Linked DNA regions of Medicago truncatula. The protein of the gene in region 1 interacts with the protein of each later gene in a pairwise test. Links are inferred from orthologs where the notes say so. Each region holds a gene or a part of one and is shown in the gene's direction. Other genes may lie near its edges. The genes, in order: RNA-binding protein with multiple splicing 2 and protein BTR1.

What was found.
Region 2: the proteins of RNA-binding protein with multiple splicing 2 (region 1) and protein BTR1 interact in a two-hybrid assay, tested with the Arabidopsis thaliana proteins (2 studies listed by BioGRID). The link is inferred for Medicago truncatula from reciprocal best matches to the Arabidopsis thaliana genes AT3G21215 and BTR1L.

The regions. Positions count from the first base shown.
Region 1 is NC_053045.1:435,461-446,413, forward strand, and holds RNA-binding protein with multiple splicing 2, read left to right. Parts: upstream 1-4,244; 5' UTR 4,245-4,422; coding exon 4,423-4,524; intron 4,525-4,604; coding exon 4,605-4,860; intron 4,861-5,114; coding exon 5,115-5,244; intron 5,245-5,547; coding exon 5,548-5,662; intron 5,663-6,407; coding exon 6,408-6,499; intron 6,500-6,608; coding exon 6,609-6,678; intron 6,679-6,773; coding exon 6,774-6,856; intron 6,857-7,275; coding exon 7,276-7,372; 3' UTR 7,373-7,852; downstream 7,853-10,953. Other genes in the region: D-3-phosphoglycerate dehydrogenase 2, chloroplastic, read left to right, coding at 1-3, 346-722, 865-975, 1,067-1,162, 1,356-2,027.
Region 2 is NC_053042.1:44,621,444-44,632,396, reverse strand, and holds protein BTR1, read left to right. Parts: upstream 1-4,520; 5' UTR 4,521-4,677; exon of another isoform or gene 4,678-4,796; 5' UTR 4,797-4,859; coding exon 4,860-4,947; intron 4,948-6,813; coding exon 6,814-7,052; intron 7,053-7,143; coding exon 7,144-7,250; intron 7,251-7,588; coding exon 7,589-7,782; intron 7,783-8,701; coding exon 8,702-8,826; intron 8,827-9,829; coding exon 9,830-9,925; intron 9,926-10,013; coding exon 10,014-10,075; intron 10,076-10,205; coding exon 10,206-10,299; 3' UTR 10,300-10,690; downstream 10,691-10,953. Other genes in the region: probable histone H2B.3, read right to left, coding at 1-288.

The DNA.
Region 1 (10,953 bases):
CTGGTATGGTACATTTACATGATTTATCTTGTATACTAATTTATAGATCTATGTTAGTAAATAGTTTTATACGTATAACATCTTTTATACATTGACATATATTCGATGTTGGAAGATTAATTGCTTGAGACATATGACATATCCAAAGGTTTTAAGGTTGAGATTGTGAGGTGATCTCTTGCATTGTAAAAGCAGAAAGATGGATGATTCTTGCTAGATCCATCGGTTGAAATATACATGAGATATTATTTATGAAGTAGTTATGTTATGTACACAAAAAAGTATAATTTTTAGGTGAAGAATTTACCCTAGTATAGTATGAGTATTTGTTGATAATTTTTGCAGGAAAATGGCTGAGAAGCAAGTATGTTGGAGTATCTATGGTTGGGAAAACATTAGCAATAATGGGGTTTGGAAAAGTTGGATCTGAAGTTGCAAGGCGTGCAAAAGGATTAGGAATGAATGTGATTGCTCATGACCCTTATGCTCCAGCTGATAGAGCACGTGCTGTTGGTGTGGAATTAGTTTCATTTGATCAAGCAATCACAACCGCTGATTTCATCTCACTTCACATGCCTCTCACTCCAACTACTAACAAAGTCTTCAATGACAACACTTTTGCTAAGATGAAGAATGGTGTGAGAATCATCAATGTTGCTAGAGGTGGTGTTATTGATGAAGATGCTTTAGTCAAAGCTCTTGATAGTGGAATTGTTGCTCAGGTCAACCCTTTTTTTTACTTCAAATCTACATGTAGTTGAAGCACATGAAGTCGTGATTAACAAACAATGTTCAAATTTGAAATTAATTAGTTATCTGTTAACCATTCAAATGACATTTCTATTTTGTTTGAACTTGGAGCAGGCAGCTCTTGATGTGTTCACTGAGGAGCCTCCAGCCAAAGACAGTAAGTTAGTGCAACATGAGAATGTGATTGCTACTCCTCATCTTGGAGCCAGCACCAAAGAAGCACAGGTTTGTTTTTCTTTAATATCCTACTTCCATTTGTTTTAGCTCACATTATTTCCTTACCAAGTTGTTTTTCTTACCAATTTTGACTCAATAGGAGGGTGTGGCTATTGAAATAGCAGAGGCTGTTGTTGGTGCATTGAATGGTGAACTTTCAGCAACTGCTGTCAATGCTCCTATGGTTGCTCCTGAGGTAAACAAAACAACCTCATTGTGACATTATTATGCTTTTCTCGAATAAAGACCATAGCCAGCCTCCACGAAAATCAGAATTGAATTACAAGTAGTTTAGACATTGGTCAAATTTGTGACATCTATGATTGATGTGCATTGTTCTTCTTTTTCTTCTATTTTATTTCTGTCATAACTGTTGGCAATTTCATCAGGTATTATCAGAACTGGCTCCATATGTTGTGCTAGCTGAGAAGCTAGGAAGGTTAGCTGTGCAGTTGGTATCCGGAGGAAGTGGAATCCAGTCTGTAAAAGTGGTTTACCGATCAGCCAGGGGTCCCGATGACCTTGACACTAGACTTCTTCGAGCCATGATCACAAAAGGCATCATTGAACCAATATCAAACACAATTGTCAACCTTGTAAATGCTGATTACATTGCGAAGCAAAAAGGCCTTCGCATAAGCGAGGAAAGAGTAGTGGTCGATTCGTCTCCTGAACTACCTGTTGAGTCAATCCAGATACAGATATCCAATGTGGAGTCCAAATTCGCGAGTGCTGTATCAGAGACTGGTCAGATAAGCATTGATGGAAAAGTGAAGTACGGTACACCACACCTTACATGTGTGGGATCTTTTGCTGTGGATGTGAGCTTAGAAGGGAATCTGATTTTGTGCAGACAGATTGATCAACCTGGGATGATTGGTACTGTCGGAAACATATTAGGCGAGAAAAATGTGAATGTGAGCTTTATGAGTGTTGGAAGAACATCGCGTAGGAAGAAAGCGCTTATGGCTATTGGCGTCGATGAAGAGCCAAATAAGGAAGCTCTTGAGAATATTGGAGCTGTGCCTGCTATTGAGGAGTTTGTGTTTCTCAAGCTTTAAATAGATGATTCATAAATATATGAATTTCATCTTGTGATTGTTAGAAAGTAATACTATATATATATATAGGTATTGATTGGAGAAATGAAGTTAATGAGTCTCTGATTTTAGTAGAAAGCTTGAGAAATTTGTTATGAAGTAATGGATGATAGAGTATAAATAAAACTAGCTGAAAACAAAAGCAGCTAGTAGTGTGTGACCTGTACTAAGTTTTGTATCATGGTTTTTCTAGCTTTAAATATGTACAAACTATTTGATGTTTGTCTTTTGTAATTGATGTTTTTGTTTGTGACTTTTGTTCAAAGTTGCAAAACTAATGCAATTATTTGAAAGGGAAAAGGTAGGTAAGAATCATAATGTGATGTACCAACCAAGTGGAACTAGCTCTTATAATTTCACAAGCTAGAAGCAATCCATTTGTATTCATCCTTTGATGGTTTATTTACCTATAATCTATTATGGTTAATGAATTTGTCAAACTTTTGTTGTGACTTTCTGTTTTTTTAGTTAAGCTTGTGTTATCTATTATGTTGATAAATTTACGTGTAAATGAATTGCTCATCATAAACAGATAAATTCAGTGTTCCAATTTATTATCTGTCACGGAAAAATTCAATGCTAGTTTGGAACATGTAAAAATGTAAAACAAACAGAATCCGATACTTTTTCAGTTGTTCTTTGGCTAATCAAACCTTAAAGTTTACTTTGTTCTAAATGCATTACGTAGTTCTTGGCGTGCACTAATGAGATTTGGATATTAGTGACTTCGTGGCTGGAAAAATCATGATGACTTTAAGCATATTTTATGAGAGAAAAATTAAAGAGAAATAACATATAAAATGAGATAGAACAATATAAAGAGAGATAAACATAAAGTAATAGTAACTTTTCCATCTTTACAGAACAATTTCAGCAGAGTTTTGACACTTGTAATATTTGGTATTGTTCTCTTTAAAACTCTAAGTCTTCATTTCTTTATATAGAGGTGTGAAAGAGACATTGTGAATTGCCAGCACATCAAAATAGAGTCGTTTGAAGCTTTGATCAATCACCAATGATCTTTTGCCTGATATGGTTACTGTTCTATGAAGGATCAATTTCAAATGCATTCCCATTGTGAAGGAACATCGTTGCAGGCAGAACTGTTTTTCTTGTTTTGTAGCAAAGACAAAGAACAGAGTAGTGGAGGCAGTGGTTGTACACTTCGTACAATCGTACTTTGTCAACGCTCTTTGAAGAACAAACATTCAATGCCTTCAAATCCTTTCAAATTAGCCGTTGCTTCACTTTTCGAGTCTTCTGCAATGCTTAGACGAGATTGAATCCATTGAACAACTTTTGAAGCTTTAAGTTGAATCTCCTGATGAACTGCAGCTTCTGGTGATTTTCAGCTTCTGATGAACTTGCTTCTGATGACGTCACTACTTCATGAACACTTTGTCTTCAGGAGCGCTTTGTCTTCAGGAGCAGTTTTCTTCAGACGCTTTAAGTTTTTTTTTTTTTTTTGTTGATTCCTTTGCTCTTTATTGTTCTTCCAAGACCTTTTTAAATGTCAAATTTTGTCTATAGCCTTGTACACTTGAACAACTATTAGCATATCCAATTGACAATTTTTAATACATTGTTATCATCAAAACTCTCAAGAGTTAATGTTAAACACATTTTGTTCCAACAAATTGCTTTTTTAATTTTTATTTATTTTGGGCTCGTAAACAAAATGGTAAACATCACTAAAACTCATGCATACTTTAAAGTTTCGCATTTAATTATTTTTTTGAAAGGGACATATTGGTTAATTGTTAATACGGTGATATGTGTATTAAATATTTTTTTGGTTAAGACCAATCATTTTTTTTAAAGGAAAAGACCAATTATTAATTTATTTTTTTTTGAAACAAACAATTATGATAATAATAAGTATATTCTGTTATCATACAATATATAATTATTTTCATATTTATTAATTGATATAATAACATATCATTAGGTGTGTATTGATTAAACTCTTTTAATCAAGTTTACACAATTTTCAAGTAAAAGTGGTATTCAAGTTCTTAAAAAAAAAAGTATATAGGATAAGATAAAAATTCCTTAAAAAAAAAAAGTAAAGATAAATTATTTCTCACAGTCTAAATTTTTATTTTATATAAAAAAAAAAAGATAATAGTTTTTGAAGCAAATAATAGGATAAATTATTATAGTCATTAAATGTTGCCACCACAAAAAAAAAAAAAAAAAAAAAAAGCTGGATCACAAGAAAGAAGAGAAAGAAGAGAGTGTGCATCTTGAAGTTGAAGTTGAGAAGTGTTTAGAGTAAACGAACGACACCGGATTTACTAACTGGTGAGTAGTTAGGGTTAGGGTTTCTTTGATTTGTGAATTTTGATTGATACTGATGGCAGCCAACGGCATCCACCCTTACCACCAACAATGGCCTCCCGCCGCCGCTCCTCCTCCTCCTCAACCCACCGCTATTCCTTCCCCTTCCTCCGAAGAGGTACTTCACTCTTCTATTCTATTTATTTCAAATTTCAAATCCAATCTATTATTCAATTCAATTCAATTATGCTTTTTCAGGTTCGAACCATATTTATAACGGGTCTTCCAGAAGATGTTAAAGAGAGAGAACTTCAAAACCTTTGTCGATGGTTACCTGGTTTTGAAGCTTCTCAGTTGAATTTCAAAGCTGAAAAGCCTATGGGTTTTGCTCTTTTCAATTCTCCTCATCAAGCTATTGCTGCTAAAGATATTCTTCAGGATATGCTTTTTGATCCCGAGGCTAAATCTGTTCTTCATACTGAGATGGCCAAGAAAAATCTATTTGTTAAACGAGGTCATTCAATTCTATTTCTATGCCACCTTCACTTCTGATTCAATTGTCTAGTGTCTGCCATGTGTCATTGTACCAACACATGTTATTAGACTAAATTATGGTATTGGTGATCTGTTGAAACTCCAAGGTGGAGGTTTTGTTCAATTCACCTTCACATGCTGTAATTCTGCCAAACATGCACTGTTAATTCAAACATGCACTCACATATTTCATTGTAAATTATATAAGTGTTACTTATTTTGATATTTTTGTAGGAATAGGAGCTGATGCAGTTGCTTTTGATCAAAGTAAACGGTTACGAACAGCTGGGGATTATAATCATACTGGTTACGTAACTCCGTCTCCTTTTCATCCTCCTCCACCACCTGTTTGGGGACCACATGGGTAAACTAACACAAACCTCATCTATATGCGTGTGTGTGTGTGTGTGTGATATGATATGTAAAAACAATGTCGTCAAATAGTGGCTATAGCATAGCAGAATTTGAACAAGTCGCTATTGTTTCGTGATTTGCTATTTAGTACAAAATGTTGTGAAATAGTTGCTATAGGGGATTATACCACTATTGTGCAGTGGAATTAGAAAAACCAATATTTTCCGCGATCAGCAATTGACAACATTGATAAAAAAAAATTGTTTGTTTCTCCATATTATTAACTGAAAGTTTGTTTGTTTTTATGGTCTAGATATATGGCTCCACCACCTCCTCCTCCGTATGATCCATATGCAGGCTATCCTGTTGCACAAGTACCAATGCCTGCTCCTGTGTCTATCGCACCTAGCAGTTATGTTCCAATTCAGGTGAGAATGACTTTAAACTGTTAATGCTACTTTGGTTTCACTCATCTTTTTGTCAATTGTTATATCATTATACCTTCGTGTGCAATTTTGAGCTCGTCATTTATAAAAGAGAAGGTGGAGTTTTTGAATATTCTGTTAGTTATAAGTTCTGTAATGTTTGCTTGTATATTTTTTATTTTAGTTGAAAAGGGCTTGATATTTTCTTTTGTTGGTATAATTATTACCATTTAACTGTTAGAAATTGATCAAGTAACTTATCTACTCACTAATGTGCTCATGAACTGTCCTTGAAGTCCTGAACGGGCACGGGCACGGGCACGGGCACAGCAGAGTTCTAAAATTGTATCTCAAAGTGAATATGGGAGGGGAAGCATTTGTCTTTGTTTTGTTGGATGTATTGTTGACTTAATTGCCATATTCTGCTCGGATTTAGAATCATATTTTAGAGATTTTACATCTCTATTTTAACTACCAAAGAAGGCAAGATTACAGCAACTAATACCTCTAAATTGCTGAATGAATGTTTAAATGTGTTATGTACATCCTACTGGAAAAAATATGATGTTTAAAAGGTCAAACAGAAGTATTGTTTGTTCGAAGTATATTCACAGTTGGTTTTACCTTCGTTATTATCATGCAGTGATGTTGCTCATTTATTTAATAAATGCTTTTTATACTACCGTTAATATTGTTTATCAATGATAGATAGTGAATGCAATGTGTTTACTTTAAATTTTCTGTACAGAACACTAAAGATAACCCTCCTTGCAACACCCTGTTTATTGGGAACTTAGGAGAGAACATTAATGAGGAAGAAGTGAGGGGCCTTTTCAGTGTGTATGTAAAACTTATCCTTTGACACAGGCTCTTTTGTTCAGTTTATGTAGCATTTTCTATGCCGTGTCATATATTGGATTAATCTGTTGAACTTGGCTTTGTAATGCAGACAACCTGGTTTTAAGCAAATGAAGATTATAAGGCAGGAGAGGCATACAGTTTGCTTCATTGAGTTTGAAGTCTGTAAACTTTGTTCATATTTGTGCCTTTTATTGTCTGGATCTTTTCTGATTTATGTTTACGCTAATACTTGGTATTCAATAACCTATTGCAGGATGTGAATAGTGCTACAAATGTGCACCACAATCTGCAGGGTGCTGTTATCCCAAGTTCTGGTTCAATTGGCATGCGGATACAATATCCTTTTTTATTGTTGAGCATCTTAAGCTTTGTTTTCTTGATTTTTTTCTTTCATTCATGTTCATTCTCTAATTAACCCAGCATCCGGGGTTTATGACTGGGAAATAGTAGAATACATTAGAAGTTTTTGCTTAAATGCTCGCACTTATTCCAATTTACCATGCACTTTTCTTCACTGATACTGGAACCATGAGTTTCTTTCATTTGTTTTTTCAATGCCAAAACTAAGTATCGGTAAATTCAGGCCCAAAGCTTCATATTTGTTGAATGATGATTCTTGCTTACATTTCTTATCTCTCAATGTGCATTCAACATACACTCATACTTTGCATTCAATTTGGTATAAACCTAGTTGTGATTTCTCAATTCTGTTGTAGGCAAGGAATTCTTTTGTACTTTTCTTGACTTCTTAGCAGATATTCCAAAAATCCATTTGGAAAAAGAAAAGATGGAACCTACCCTATGGCTGTTCCTGGTGCCAATGGAGCTCCAGTAGCAATGACTTATCAGTAGCTTGAAGGGGATGTACTCTGTTCTTTATGCTTCAACCAATATTACTACATTATAGGATGCATCTTGCAGCTGTTTCATGCATCCATTGATTATCAAGTCATCGCCATTATCATCACTGCTCATGTTAATGAATGCACCGTGGCATCATATACATACACTTGGCTATGTTATACTAATCAGACATGCATTTATCGGCAGCATGTGTTGGTTCCCAGATTAGTTTCATAGGTGTTTAGATGGCGTTATCATTTGTAGGAACCGTGCATGTGTCTAAATTTTGTTTGAAATGTGCTTTATGGTCATTAGACTTTTCTGTATACATTGGTATTTAGGGATGCTTATCCAAACAGGCATTGGTATCTGCTTCCAACTTTAGGTTCATGTGTTGTTTATTTGACATGACATATTATTGTGATGCTTTCTTTCTTTTCATGGCACGGCTTGACATGACATCAATGATCCATCTACCCTTTCCACTCATTACTATTGTCATTACACCACATTTTTAGCCTTCTGTTTTTCAAATTTAGTTTCTGTAAACTGGGGGCGTACTTTAGGCGATAAAATATGGTGTTATAATCGGTGATTAGAAAATTAATGGTTGAAATTGGCATAACTATGTAATTAACTATGAAGTTCGTAAAATTCATTTGTTTGATTTTTGAATCACCGAATATAACTTGTAATTTGTCTTCTAAAGTACACTCCCAAGCTTTTTAAACTACATCCACCCTGGCATTCATGACTCCATTTGATCACAACATTAATGTTAAATGCGTTGAAGTTAAAACTATTTAAAGGATTCTCCGGAGTTATATGTTGTCTAATTTATACAGGGTTGCAACATGACAAAGCTTCCTTTCATAATGGAAGGTCCATTTCTGCTACTGCCATATTGTTGCAGGTAATTTTTGTTTGCACGGGTAAGGCAAACTACCATCAAATTTGGTTGGAACGTCTGTTGGATATCAAGTGAAGCAGCCATTGAATTATAGGTGCCCTATGACTACGAATTTCTTATAAACCGAAAAATGTTAGTTTTGTGCAAGAATTGGATGTTTATACTGTCAAGTTTTATTTGTGTAGAAGATATTGGTAGGCTAATTTTAATACAACTAGAGGATAATAGAGTCATTCTGGGATCCTCATCCTGCCATCAATTTTTTTGGATAGGCAAATGTCATTCTGATAGTAGAGTCATTTGATCATCATGATTTTAAATAGGGGTGGCAAATGGATTGATTGGATGGATATGGATTTGGATCCTAATGGATGGATCAAAAAAGGTCCATTAGTTTATTACAATCCACTATTTTTTTTTCTTAAAAAAAACCATCCAGTCCATCCAATTAGAATAAAGTCCATCCAATCCATCCATTATTAGATTTTAATGGATGGATAATCCATCCGATCCATAAATCAAAGTGTATAATTTTTTTTAAAGTGTATTATTTTTTTTTATAGGTGAATTATTTTTTTTAAAGTGTATTATTTTTTGATAGGTGTATTATCAAAAAAACTTATTACGATCTCTTTTAAAAAAAAACAGTTTATTTATGCAAAACAACTTATTAGGATCTCTTTTGAAAAACAGCTTATTTATACAAAATAAATTATTATGATCTCATTTTCAAAAACAGCTTATTTAAGCAAAACAACTTATTCTGATCTCATTTTCAAAAACAACTTATTCAAAACAGCTTATTTATGCAAAACAGATTATTTCGATCTCATTTTCAGAAACAGCTTATTCAAAACAGCTTATTTATTAAAAATTGCTTATTATGATCTCATTTTCAAAAACAGCTTATTCATGCAAAACAGCTTATTTATGCAAAACAACTTATTTCGATCTCATTTTCAGAAACAACTTATTCAAAACAGCTTATTTATGCAAAATAGCTTATTATGATCTCATTTTCAAAAACTGCTTCTTCAAAACAGCTTAATTATGCAAAACAGCTTATTATGATCTCATTTTCAAAAATAGCTTATTCATGAAAAACAACTTATTTATGCAAAACAGCTTATTTATGCAAAACAGCTTATTATAAGTTGTTTCGAATATGCTGTTTGTTCTAACTCATTGTTGGCTTTCCTTTTGTAGAAAGATGGTTAAATTGTGCATCTTCTTTAATGGTTTAAGTTGCATAGCATTACTGCTCCTCTAACTAAAATATTCAAATGTAGATAGATTTGGTATGCATAGCATTAATGCTCCTCAAACTAAAATTTTCAAATGTACATGGACTTGGAAGGAGCTGACATCATGCAGAACAGTTGTTATGAAAGTTATTATTGTTGGTCGGTTAGGATTAGATTTATAATTTACTCGTGAAAAAACCACTTCTAGATAAGTACTGCACTGCTTCATTTATATATGAATATGGTACATTTTTGAATCAAATGGTATATTTTTTAATCAATTTCTAAAATGTACAAACCATATAACTGCAACTGTATTCCACACCAAATCAAACCACTGCAATTGCATTCAAATTCCAAATATAAACCTTTCAACTGTATACCAACAGCAAAATTCAAACCCAAAATCCAAATTTATGATTCCTTATCACTTGTTTAAACAATCTTGCACTTCAAAAATGGCCATGATGATGATAACAGTTAACATATAAATTAAAACAATATCAGAATCACAAACATTAACTGATAAACTGAGAAAGATTCAAATGGTAAAAAGGCCAAATTCATGAATTTTCATTAATCTCTTCCAAAGGAACAAGCTTAGATAAATATATCCACATAAACGTCATTTAACTAAACCCCTAACTAGAACTACAAAGACATTGATTCTTCAAACTAAATTTAACACAATTAACTCAAGTTTTTCAGCTAAGATTCATTCATTCATCATCAGCACCCTTGGTGTTACCACCAGCTTTCTTTGGAAGCAACAAGTTGTGAATATTGGGCATAACACCACCATTAGCAATAGTAACATCACCAAGAAGCTTGCTCAATTCTTCATCATTCCTCACAGCCAATTGAATGTGTCTTGGCACAATTCTTGTACTAACTCATACAAGATTTAGTAAGAAACAACACTGCACTAGATACCAAATTAACTGAGGGATAGATCATATAGAAATTTCAATACTCAAATCAACTTGACCTTATTTAGCAACATTAGACCATGTAGTCAACAAATCTGGACCATCTGATCTTACAGCTCATATTTCAAATTTATCTTTCACATTTGTTTACATCTGATTTACTGAACTTAAAATGTGAGACTTTCATCAATATCGGAGAATCCAGAATTATTAACACAAAACCAGGAATAGTCCCTCATGTTACTACAAAATATACTCAAAGTTGACATACATGATACACTACATGATACCAGAAGAATATGTAAATTCACACTACATGATACATGAAGTTAATCACTTTTACATGGATGATTTATCGAAGTTAATCACTTTTACATGGTTAAGTGAAAAATAAACAATCATCAGAAAATCTTCAAACGTTGTCAAACAAACAACTATGAAAACACAACAAAATCAACTAAGAAAACACAAACAACAACAATCTCAGATAACCCAATTCATAAAACG
Region 2 (10,953 bases), on another chromosome or scaffold:
GTAGCGAGCGAGTCTGGATGATTCCTGAGCGAGCTTCTCAAAGATGTCATTGATGAAACTGTTCATGATCCCCATAGCCTTGCTGGAGATTCCAATGTCAGGATGAACCTGCTTGAGAACCTTGAAGATGTAGATCTTGTAGGTTTCTACGCTCTTCTTGTTTCTCTTTTTCTTCTTGTCGGCAGAGGAAGCTTCCTTTGGGATCTTCTTCTCCGCTTTGGTTTTCTCTGCGGGAGCTTTTTCTGCTGGCTTCTTCTCAGCGGGCTTCTTCTCTCCCTTTGGTGCCATTGATGATCGAAAGCTGAAAAGCTGAAATTGAAAACGAGAGAGTTTTACAGAGAGCGAGAGAGATTATAGTGTTTTAAATTGTGATTTTGCATTTGGGTGTGGAATGGTTTATATAGAAATGGTTAATGGTCTCTGATTGGTTGGTTTTAGAATTAGCGGATAGGTGACGTGGATGCTACATTTAGGGTGCATTTCCCATTTTGCCCCTCACCATTTTTTAAATTATTTTATAATTTTTATATTTTTAATAACTTTTGTAATTTTTATATTTTTAATAACTATTTTTCAATTTTTATTTTTTTTAACTATTTTTTAATTTTTTCATCTAAATTCAGTTGCTTCTACATTGTCGTTGTGGGAGATTAAGATATTGTTTGACCCGGTTTTTTTTCCAACTTCTCTACATTTTTAAGGAGAAGTTAGGTCAAACACACTATCAATTATTTTAATTTCAATATTGTTTAATCATCACAACCTCCCAAATATTTTTATTCAGACTGTCATTTAGTGATACCAAATACTTTTATTTCCTTTATTCAACCTCGCAAATATTTACACACATACATTAACGTTTAGAGTAATATTTTATGTCCGTTTGTCTGTGTTTTTTTACGCTCATGCATATAATTTTTTTTAGTGTTGCTTGGTTGAGTGCTACCTCACCGATTTTTTTAACTATTTTCCAATTTTTATATTTTTAAAAACTTTTAACTATTTTCCAATTTTTTCTTCCAAATTCAGTTGCTTCTACACTGCCGTTGTGGGAGATTAAGATACCGTTTGACCCGGTTTTTTTTTTTACTTCTCTACATTTTTAAGGAGCAGTTAGGTCAAACACAATATCAATTAAGTACTTATTAGAAAGGGAACTTTTTTTAATTCATAAAATTGAATGGAATGAGCTTTGGCCAAAAGTTCTTGAATGCTACTTTAAAAAACTACTTCTAGACAATATATTTCATAAGCACCTCTTTTCAACTCATGCTAAGAACCTTTTCTTTTATTTTTTAATATTATATTTCAATATGTTTTCTTTTCATTTAACTTTATTTTATTTTATTTTTTGAACTGTTAGATTTAATTTTATTATCTTTTTTTTCAAAAGAATTTTATTATCTTTTTATCACTTATATATTTAATTTCAATATTGCTTAATCATCACAACCTCACAAACATTTTTATTCACGCTGTCATTTAATTATATCAAATATTTTTATTTCCTTTCTTCAACCTCGCGAATACACACACACATTAACGTTTAAAGTAATATTTTATGTTCGTCTGTCTGTTTTTTGTTACGTTAATGCATATAATTTTTTTTTGCTTGGTTGAGTGCTACCTCACCGATTTTTTTTAACTATTTTCTAATTTTCATATTTTTAAAACTTTTGACTATTTTTCAATTTTTTTATTTTTAACTATTTTCTAATTTTTTTCTCCCAAATTCAGTTGCTTCTACACTGCCGTTGTGAGAGATTAAGATACCGTTTGACCCAGTTTTTTTCAACTTCTCTACATTTTTAAGGAGAAGTTAGGCCAAGTATAATATCAATTAAGTACTTACTAAAAAATGGACTTTTTTTAATGTATAAAATTGAATAGAATGAGCTTTGGCCAAAAGTTGTTGAATGCTACTTCAAAAAACTACTTATCGACAACTTATTTCACAAGCATCTCTCTTCAATTCACGTTGGGAACCTTTTCTTTTATTTTTTAATATTATATTTCAATATATTTGTTATTCAATGAAGCCATTTCTACTTGCATTTAAATCATGCATCAAGTAAAAAAGTGATTTCAATGCATAGTGAAAAATTCATTTCAATGCATAACTAGATGTGGAAGTTGATGCTATTATGCTCTGAGGGAAAGAAAAAAAGAGAGATTGTTTGTTTCTTCCTAGCACGACAAAAATTGAGTGAGGGTCCTAAGAATGAGCTAAAACCTGAAGTGGATTTATGTGTGCCAAACAATCCTTCCTAATTAGCACCATCATAACAAAAAATTTGGACTTTTGAACTTCTTGGAAATAAGAGACCACAACCAAGGTTTTATTTGGGATATCTAACCACTCTACAAGTTGTATCGAAGTCAGTAATGACGGGAGCATGTAAAATTGGACAAGTTTTTGTGTGATAAATGTAATATATGGTCTACATACACCGAAAGTGTTGTAAAATCGTCATCATGCTTCAAGGTGAAGAGACAATGGTCTGAACTTGATCTTCATCATGTTTCTCAATTCTCATACCACTTTCAACTTACTTGTTTGAGGCCATACAAGCTCTCTCACAATTTCCACACCTTGTCGCTGTTTAGCATAAGATACACCTTCAAGAATGGTCATGTAGACATATAATTGAAGAAAATGTGAAACTACTGATTGTTGTCGATGCAAATAGATACAACATAAAGGGCGTTAGTTATAGATTTTTTAAGAAAAAAATAACTTAAAAAAAAAAATCACTTTTAAGAGTGTTGCATCCATTTGTTACAGCTTCTCAAAAAATATATTTTTTTAAGAAGAGATAGAAAATATGTTTTAAAAGATTGAACTAATTTTGTAACGAAAAATCTCTCTTATGTAGTTGTATCCAATGTATTTACAATTAATTTTGTTTAATAATACAGTTGAGATACACCATATTCTATGTTTAATAATTCATTTGAGATACAGGTTTAATAAAAACACAAGGATCAAAATTGCATTAATAATCAAATATAAGTACAACTTAGTTGATAGCTACGGAGATATCGATAAATGGAGGCTTTAATTCAAACATTCGATTTCTCATTTCTTCTATTTTAAGTTGTGTTAGTCCGATCACTAAAAATCGCGTCAATACTATAATAGGAATGAAAAAAATGAAATGAAATTTATAGTGTATATATATATATATATATATATATATATATATATATATATATATATATATATATTATTTTTTCATAAAGGAAATAGATATACCATTGTTTATATTTTCAACTTTGTTTATATTTTTTTAGTATATATGTCAAAAAAAACCTCAAAACAATTGTACCAAACACTCCACTCAAGAGTTAGGAAAACTGCTATTGATGGGCAAAGTTCCTCCTTCAATGTCAATCGTTTGAAGAAAAGGGAATCATAATCGAGAATATCAACCAAATCTCAACTAAATCCTTGCTCAATCAACACCAACAAAGAGAAAAAGGGAAAGTTTATATTTTGGGTTCTTTTGATCCCGACATATGACATTGACTCATACGACAAAGTAGCTTTCCAACGTCAAAGGCGGAAGATCGAATCTATATCTTGAGAGACTGAGTTAAAAAGTGAAAAAAATACCACTACTTTTTAAGAAGAATCTGTCTATTGATTTATAGCAAAATTACATTTAAAAATGACTTTTTTTGACAAAACATCTAAAAATAAATTGAATTTGGTACATGATTTTAATGCGTTCAATGACTTTTTATGGTTTGAAAAGATTTTTTGAGGATACTTATACTCATAGTAAAAATCAAAATTTTATTATTGTCATCTTGTGAGTGCAGTTTAGTTGGTGGTTGCATGAATTTTGTTGTAATATTTTCGTTTCCACACTTAAAGCGCGTAATTAGTCATTAAACTATATGACAAAAAAAATATGATTATTATATTATTATTTTTTTTCAAAGATTATTATATCATTAATATTGAAAGCTATTATTTTTTTTAGTATTTTAAAATTGTACCTAAAATAAATGGAAAAGTGGAAAAATATTGAACGCTATTATTAAAAAGCTTTATTTTGACATTTTATAAAAAAGTTTTGTTTTGATGTAATATTATAACCCTGTCAAACTCATCTAATGGATGAAGATTGAATGATACAAATTTTATATTTAAATTTAAAATTTTCTTAAATATAAGTTTCAAACTTATAATCTAAATCATCTAATCTTAATTAAACGATTCAGATGCCACCTTGACAATAGGGGCCACCAACCAGCACACAAACCCGGTCTATTTATCATTGCATTATTACCCGAAATAACGAATGAAATCATAATTTCTAGAATTTGACTTTTCTTCTGTAAAATAAAAAATAGTTTCAATAATTCAATTTACGGTACTACATAAACATCACAGCAGTAGAATTGAATTGACGGTGATGATAATATCTGTTTCTTCCGTAGTAAGGCAATAAGGTAAAATTGCGATTCATTTCAGTGGGTCGGGACGTGAGAAAGAGAAACACACACGCACACACACATTGACACCTCACACACAACGCAGCAGCATATTATCGATTATCGATAGATAAACAAAACAAAACGTGACGTTGCGGTGGGTATTACAGAAACAAAACAAAACAAAAACCGCAGCACCAACTTCTTCTTCTCTTCTCTTCTTCTCATTCCGCCGTATTCACTTTTTCTCTCACTCTTTAACACTTTTCGCCATTACTACTATGTAACTTTCTCTCTCTGAATTAACTGTCAATTTTCCTTCTCTCTATCTCTCTCTCTCTCTCAAACAAAGGAGTGAGAATTAGGTTTCTTATTGTTGCTGTTGCTGTTGCTGAAGTCGTTGTCCAAGAACAACAATGGAGTCTCCTGAATCTTCTTACGTGTCATCTCCAGAAGGACCGAGGAAGCACGCTTCTTCACCTCCTCCTGATTCACCTTCACAAGGTATATCTATCTCTTCCGATCTGATCTGTTTTCTCTCTCTGTAATGTACATAGGTCAACGTTTTCATTCTCAACCCTAATTCTTCACAATGCTCCCTCGCTCGCTACTTCTTGTATATTTTAGATTTTAATATATATTTTTATTTTTATTATATGAGTAGAAACGTTATCCTGTTATATATTTTGAATTTTGTTTATTACTTTAATTTTACTGTATATATATATATTTTTTAAAGTTTTGGTAATTAACATTATGATTTTGTAGTGAATTAATTGTTCTGAATCTGTACGTTTCTTCACTTCTTAACTTAATTGGACTATACTAGTCGTGAGCCAAATTAATTGATGAGAAGGAAAATATACTCTGTTTTTTTGTTTTTGTTTTTGTTTTTATCCTGTTTCTTACGGCGTGTTTGTTTATTCTGTTGAGTTTGGCCATAAGCATTAATTTGTGTTCAAAATTTTCAACGTGTAACCAAACAGGGACTGCAGTTAAATGGAAATTTTCAGAGAAGTTTTATGTTGTGAAAGATTGGAGTTAATTTGGATTTGACTAAATCTAAGCTATGTTTTACTATATACTGTTACCAAATTAGAATTGAAATTAATAACGTAATTAAAATTTCACTGCGACGTTTATATTTGATGGAAAAGGTTTTAAGGTTTAATCCGATATGGTATTTATTTAGCGCAAGTTTGGTACCACAGTGAGTTGACGGGAATCACGGCGAGCCACCTACACACACTTAGAGTTGGGTGTGAAAAGTTCAGAGTTATTTGTCTTGCGATTTTATTTTTTGTCTTGGATATTGAAGGGAAGAATAATCTGTTTTCGTAATATGCGCTAAAATTGTTATTAAATATAAAATATGGAAAAGAGAATCATGCTATAGAATTCTTGTTTGAAATTATCAAATTTGGACGTTTATTAAGCTTTTGTGTTAGTGAGAGGCAGAACAACCTTCACACTTCACACATTTGTGCGATTAATTTAGGACTTTGTCATTTTCTTGCTTGCTAGGACAGTTATTTGATGTATGAACTCTGCATTTGTTTTGTTTTGTTTTGTTTTGTTTTGTTTTATGGGTACAAAAGCACGTTGTTCCTGGAAAATGCAGTGATATAATTTTAAGAATGTTTTTTTAGGCAATTTTCAGAATGCTTTTGTAAAACTATGAAATTTAAATTGATTTATTTTACCAACTACACCGATTATCCATGTTGTTAAATAATTGGTACGGCGCCGCTATACCGCTATTATGTATCGGGATTTCAAGCAACAGCGACGAAATCCCATACGCTATTGTGATCTCGCTGCCGCTGCAATAGCCGTGGCTTTTTGCATATTGGAGATAGCGGTTATTGTTTCATAGGGGAAGTTATTGTTTTTAATATTTTTTTTCTCCAATGGACATTAAAACTATCATGTGAGCTGCACATATTTTTAAAAACATTAAAAATTAAATAATGCTGAATCGGTGATGAGATGGGGGTCGTATGTAACCCCAAGACCTAGGTAAAGTGAAAACCTCTCGATCACTAAAACTCTTTTGCCTCTCCACTTTCTTTCTTCACTTCATACTTCATCATGCTTTAATAGTTGTTTGAACTACTGAAATTTTAAGTTTTATGTCGGTCACTTTTTAAATTTCTGTTTATTTGTGCACATCATGCTTTATTTTATGTATAATTCTTTATTTCAACTGCTTTGTGGCTTTCTCTATTTGCCTGCGTCACTATCCGCTATTTCCCATAGCGGATTTTTGGTGATCCGATATTTTCCACGATCCGCTATTAATAACACTACTGATAATTTTTTTATATATTTGATTCTTTGTGATCATTTTTACATAATGTTCACTTTCAGATTCTGTAGAAAAGCCAACGTATGTTAGGTTTCTGGTATCAAATTCTGCTGCTGGTTCTGTTATTGGTAAGGGTGGTTCAACAATCACTGATTTTCAGTCACAATCTGGAGCACGAATCCAGTTGTCACGCAATAATGAATTCTTCCCTGGAACCACTGATCGGATTATCATGGTATCTGGTGCAATCAATGAAGTACTAAGAGCTGTAGAGCTCATTCTTTCAAAGTTGCTCAGTGAGGTAATAACTATGATATTGATTCAATTAGTTACTAGAATAAAATATGTCTTGCATTGCAGGTTTCTGAGCTTAATTTGCTTTATATGATTAGCTTCACAGCGAGGATGACAATGATGTTGAGCCAAAAACAAAAGTGAGACTCATTGTTCCTAATGGTTCTTGTGGTGGAATAATTGGGAAGGGAGGTGCTACCATTAGGTACAATTCATTTTCTTTGTCAAGTTGTAGGGCTTACCTGTTTACCATATTTATGAAATTAGTACTGATCAAATTAGTTTTTGATACTTATGCCTTTTGATTTGTGTTTTGGGAATATGTTTTGATTTCAAGAGGTTGTCCCTTATATGAATGCTGGTTCTTTGGTGTCAGAGCTTTTATATCCCTATGGCCTATGCTTCCCCTGCTAAAAATAAGCATGTTATTGTCAGGCCGGCTGTTATTTTTCATCGCATGATCCTTTATTTTTTAATTTTTTTTAATGTTATTCAGAGATGGGGGTAAAAAGCTTACCTTATGAATTCTTTGCCTTTGATCAGGTCATTCATTGAAGAATCTCAAGCTGGCATTAAAATATCTCCTCAAGATAATAGTTACTATGGACAAAATGATAGGATAGTAACAGTGACAGGAACTCTGGATGAGCAGATGCGTGGAATTGATTTAATTGTTTCTAAATTAGCTGAAGATCCTCATTATTCACATTCCATGAGTTCTCCGTTTACATATTCTGGTCAGTGTCGTTTATTTGTTCCACGGAATATCTCTTATCCATTTTTGTATTTCGCTAATACTTATATACTTTGGAGCACCTAATATGGACGAAGGCAGTAGTTTCTAATCTTCATAATGACTCTTCATTATCCTCCATTAGCCCTGTTTATGTATGGACCCCTGGGATTAGTCTTCTTTCACCTTCGTTGCAGGAAGGAAGTAGATGGAGGCATTACTTTAATTAGTATATCTTCCCAACATATTGTTAGTTTAGCTTGTTAAGTTCATACATTTATACTCTTTTGCTTTCTTTTTAATGAGCCGGGCCCATCTGTCTTTCTTCTGATTGTATTACTGACTTATACATCAGGGATAGTAATGGTAAGGAAATGTTCTTTTTACAAATTCAAATAGTATACTATGTCAAAATATTTAATATATCCTTGTGTATCTGTGTGAAGGTAAAATATGATTAAGATGGTTTCATAATCCATTTGAGTAACACCTGTGATTCATAGAATCCATTTCGTTTTCACCAGATAAGGAATACTTACAAGAGAAGTTGAAAATGAGTTAAAATATCTTAATGTCATTTGAATTTTAGGAATAATAGGTGCAAGGTTAATACACCCATGTAACCGACCCCACTTAGTGAGAAAAGACCGGCTCTTGTTCTGAAAGAGTAAGAGTGGTAAGGATCATACTCTTGGTGATAGTGTGATTTTGGTATTACGCCAAAAAGGTCGAGGCCCAATACTAATTATGGTAGTCTAATACAGCAATTTACTCATTTTTGGGAGCATTTATTTTTAAAATATGAGGGTATTGTCTATTTTTATGGTAGTAAAGTGATGGTTATGTAGATTTATCATGTTTTGTCTTGTATGGATAACTTCGTGTGTTTGATGCTAAGTACAACTTTTTAACATGCATTTTAGGTGCTTATGTCTCGGGTTATCAGGGTGTTCCATATACATATGTGCTTCCATCTGTTGCACCACCAGCATACAACGGAGTGAATTACAGACCTAATGGTACTGGAGCAAAGTTCCAGAACAGCAAGGTTTTCCTCATTCCATCAATTTAATCTTGTTAATGGTTTCTAATGTTTCAAGTTGCCAAGCTTTCAAACACACACACGCACTCAAATCGAATGTTGATTAAAGCTATCTATACCTTAGTCATTGCTACTTAATAAATATATCGTACTTGTAATTGCGATTGAGAGTATGTTGTTTTATGTCACTGCAGTTTATTTTTTATTCTAAAGGGGAATGTAGAGACAGGGAAATGATTCTAGAAAACAAAATGTGGCATTCAAAATGAATATGTTTTGTTGTGTTCACAGAACTTCATATGGTGTTTTTATATAATAGTGCAATATCTAATTAGCTAAAAGGGTGCCAGTTTGTGTTTTTGGCACATGCCTGTTCATAATTTCTGACATGAATGGATACTAACATGTTGGATGATTGGAAGGAAAGGTGATGCATAGATACAATGGTTTTTAAGGAATCAAACCTTTGAAATATTTGCATAATACATACAGTCTCATAAAGGTTTTTTTTATATAGTTTCTTCATTCACCTTGTAATGTTGCTTGCCCTAACACTAACAAATAATTTTTAAATTGGTGTAACTGTGGCGTAAGATTAAATCAGTTCTCTTGACATTTCACATGACAGGCTGATATATTTGACCTGTGCTGGTTCAAGATTTAGTTTTTCTTACTATATTTTAGGGATTTGTTACTACATTTGGCTCACTTTCCACCTATTTTGTTGTTTTACAATTTGTTTTCTTCAACTCAACATGCTATCGTGAGTTAACTTATATGTCTATTACTAATGGTGAATTTAGTGAATAAAATAAGCTACTCATCTTTGTTTAAAACCATGCGTCCTCGTGTAATGATGATTTCCTATGAGTTATATACTTATATATCTATTACCAATGTTGAATTTATGAATGAAAAACTATGTATCTTTTATTAAATTCATACATCCACGTGTAATGGTGATTTGCTCTATGAGTCTGAACTGACATACTTCTTTGTTGTCTTCCAGGAGGATCGAAGTAACTCAATGACCATTGGTGTTGCAGATGAGCATATAGGATTGGTTGTTGGCCGCGGTGGAAGGAATATATCGGATATTAGTCAGGTCAGGTTTACCAATGCCTAATGATTTTGCATGGTATAATGTGATTGCTTATATAATAAACTAACTTGACTAATTTTTGCCCTTTCAGACTAGTGGAGCAAAGATAAAGATATCAGACAGAGGCGATTACATTTCTGGAACAACTGATAGGTTAGTTTTGTTCACTTACATTTTTCCTTCACTCATCCCTCAAGTATAACGAAAGCCAGCAATCAAATTCCTTGTATACTTTATTTTACAGCAGATGTTTTACGGGTGTTTCTATTTCCTTGTTATGCAGGAAAGTTACCATAACAGGATCGCAGAGAGCAATTCGCACGGCTGAATCTATGATACTGCAGAAGGTTGCTTATGCTACCGAGAGAGTGGAGTAGTATTCTGCAAGTTCACCTGTCTACTGTTAGATTCTTGGTGAACCTGCTTGCTCTGCTCATACATTTGCTGAATTTTGGGATTTGTTTACATAAAATTATCTGTCACTTAATATACTTTTGAAGATCTTTATTGTAGTGGGAGAGGGCAGGTTTCTTTCTTTCTTGAACTTAGACCGTTCTTACAGGATTTCTTCTCAAACCCATTCAAAAGATAAGAACTATTGGAAAGGGCTTTCGTGCTTTTCCAAATGTAGTATTTAGAACTATATTATTCTTTTGTTGTAAGTCAACAGTTGCTAATATCATATATAGAGTGGACAATCCTTTTTCTATCCTGGCAGCAGTTGACCTATATCTTCAATTACTGGCCTGAGATAAGATCTGAGAGTTATTTATTTGCAGTGATAGCAATTGGGAATTAAGAATTCACTTGTGGGTTGTCAGAACCCTACACCCTCAAGTTGTGATGTGTGTGCATGTTATTTCATGTTTATTGGTTGTCATTATTCAGAATCCGTTGAATTTACTTATATTTTGTATTTGATTAATCTGATGGCTTGATCAATGGTTAGAAGTGTGGTTGATACTTCAGATAAAATAGAATTAAAATGTTAAAAGCTTGTCAAGTTTTCTTTATAAGTAAGTTGATAAAGT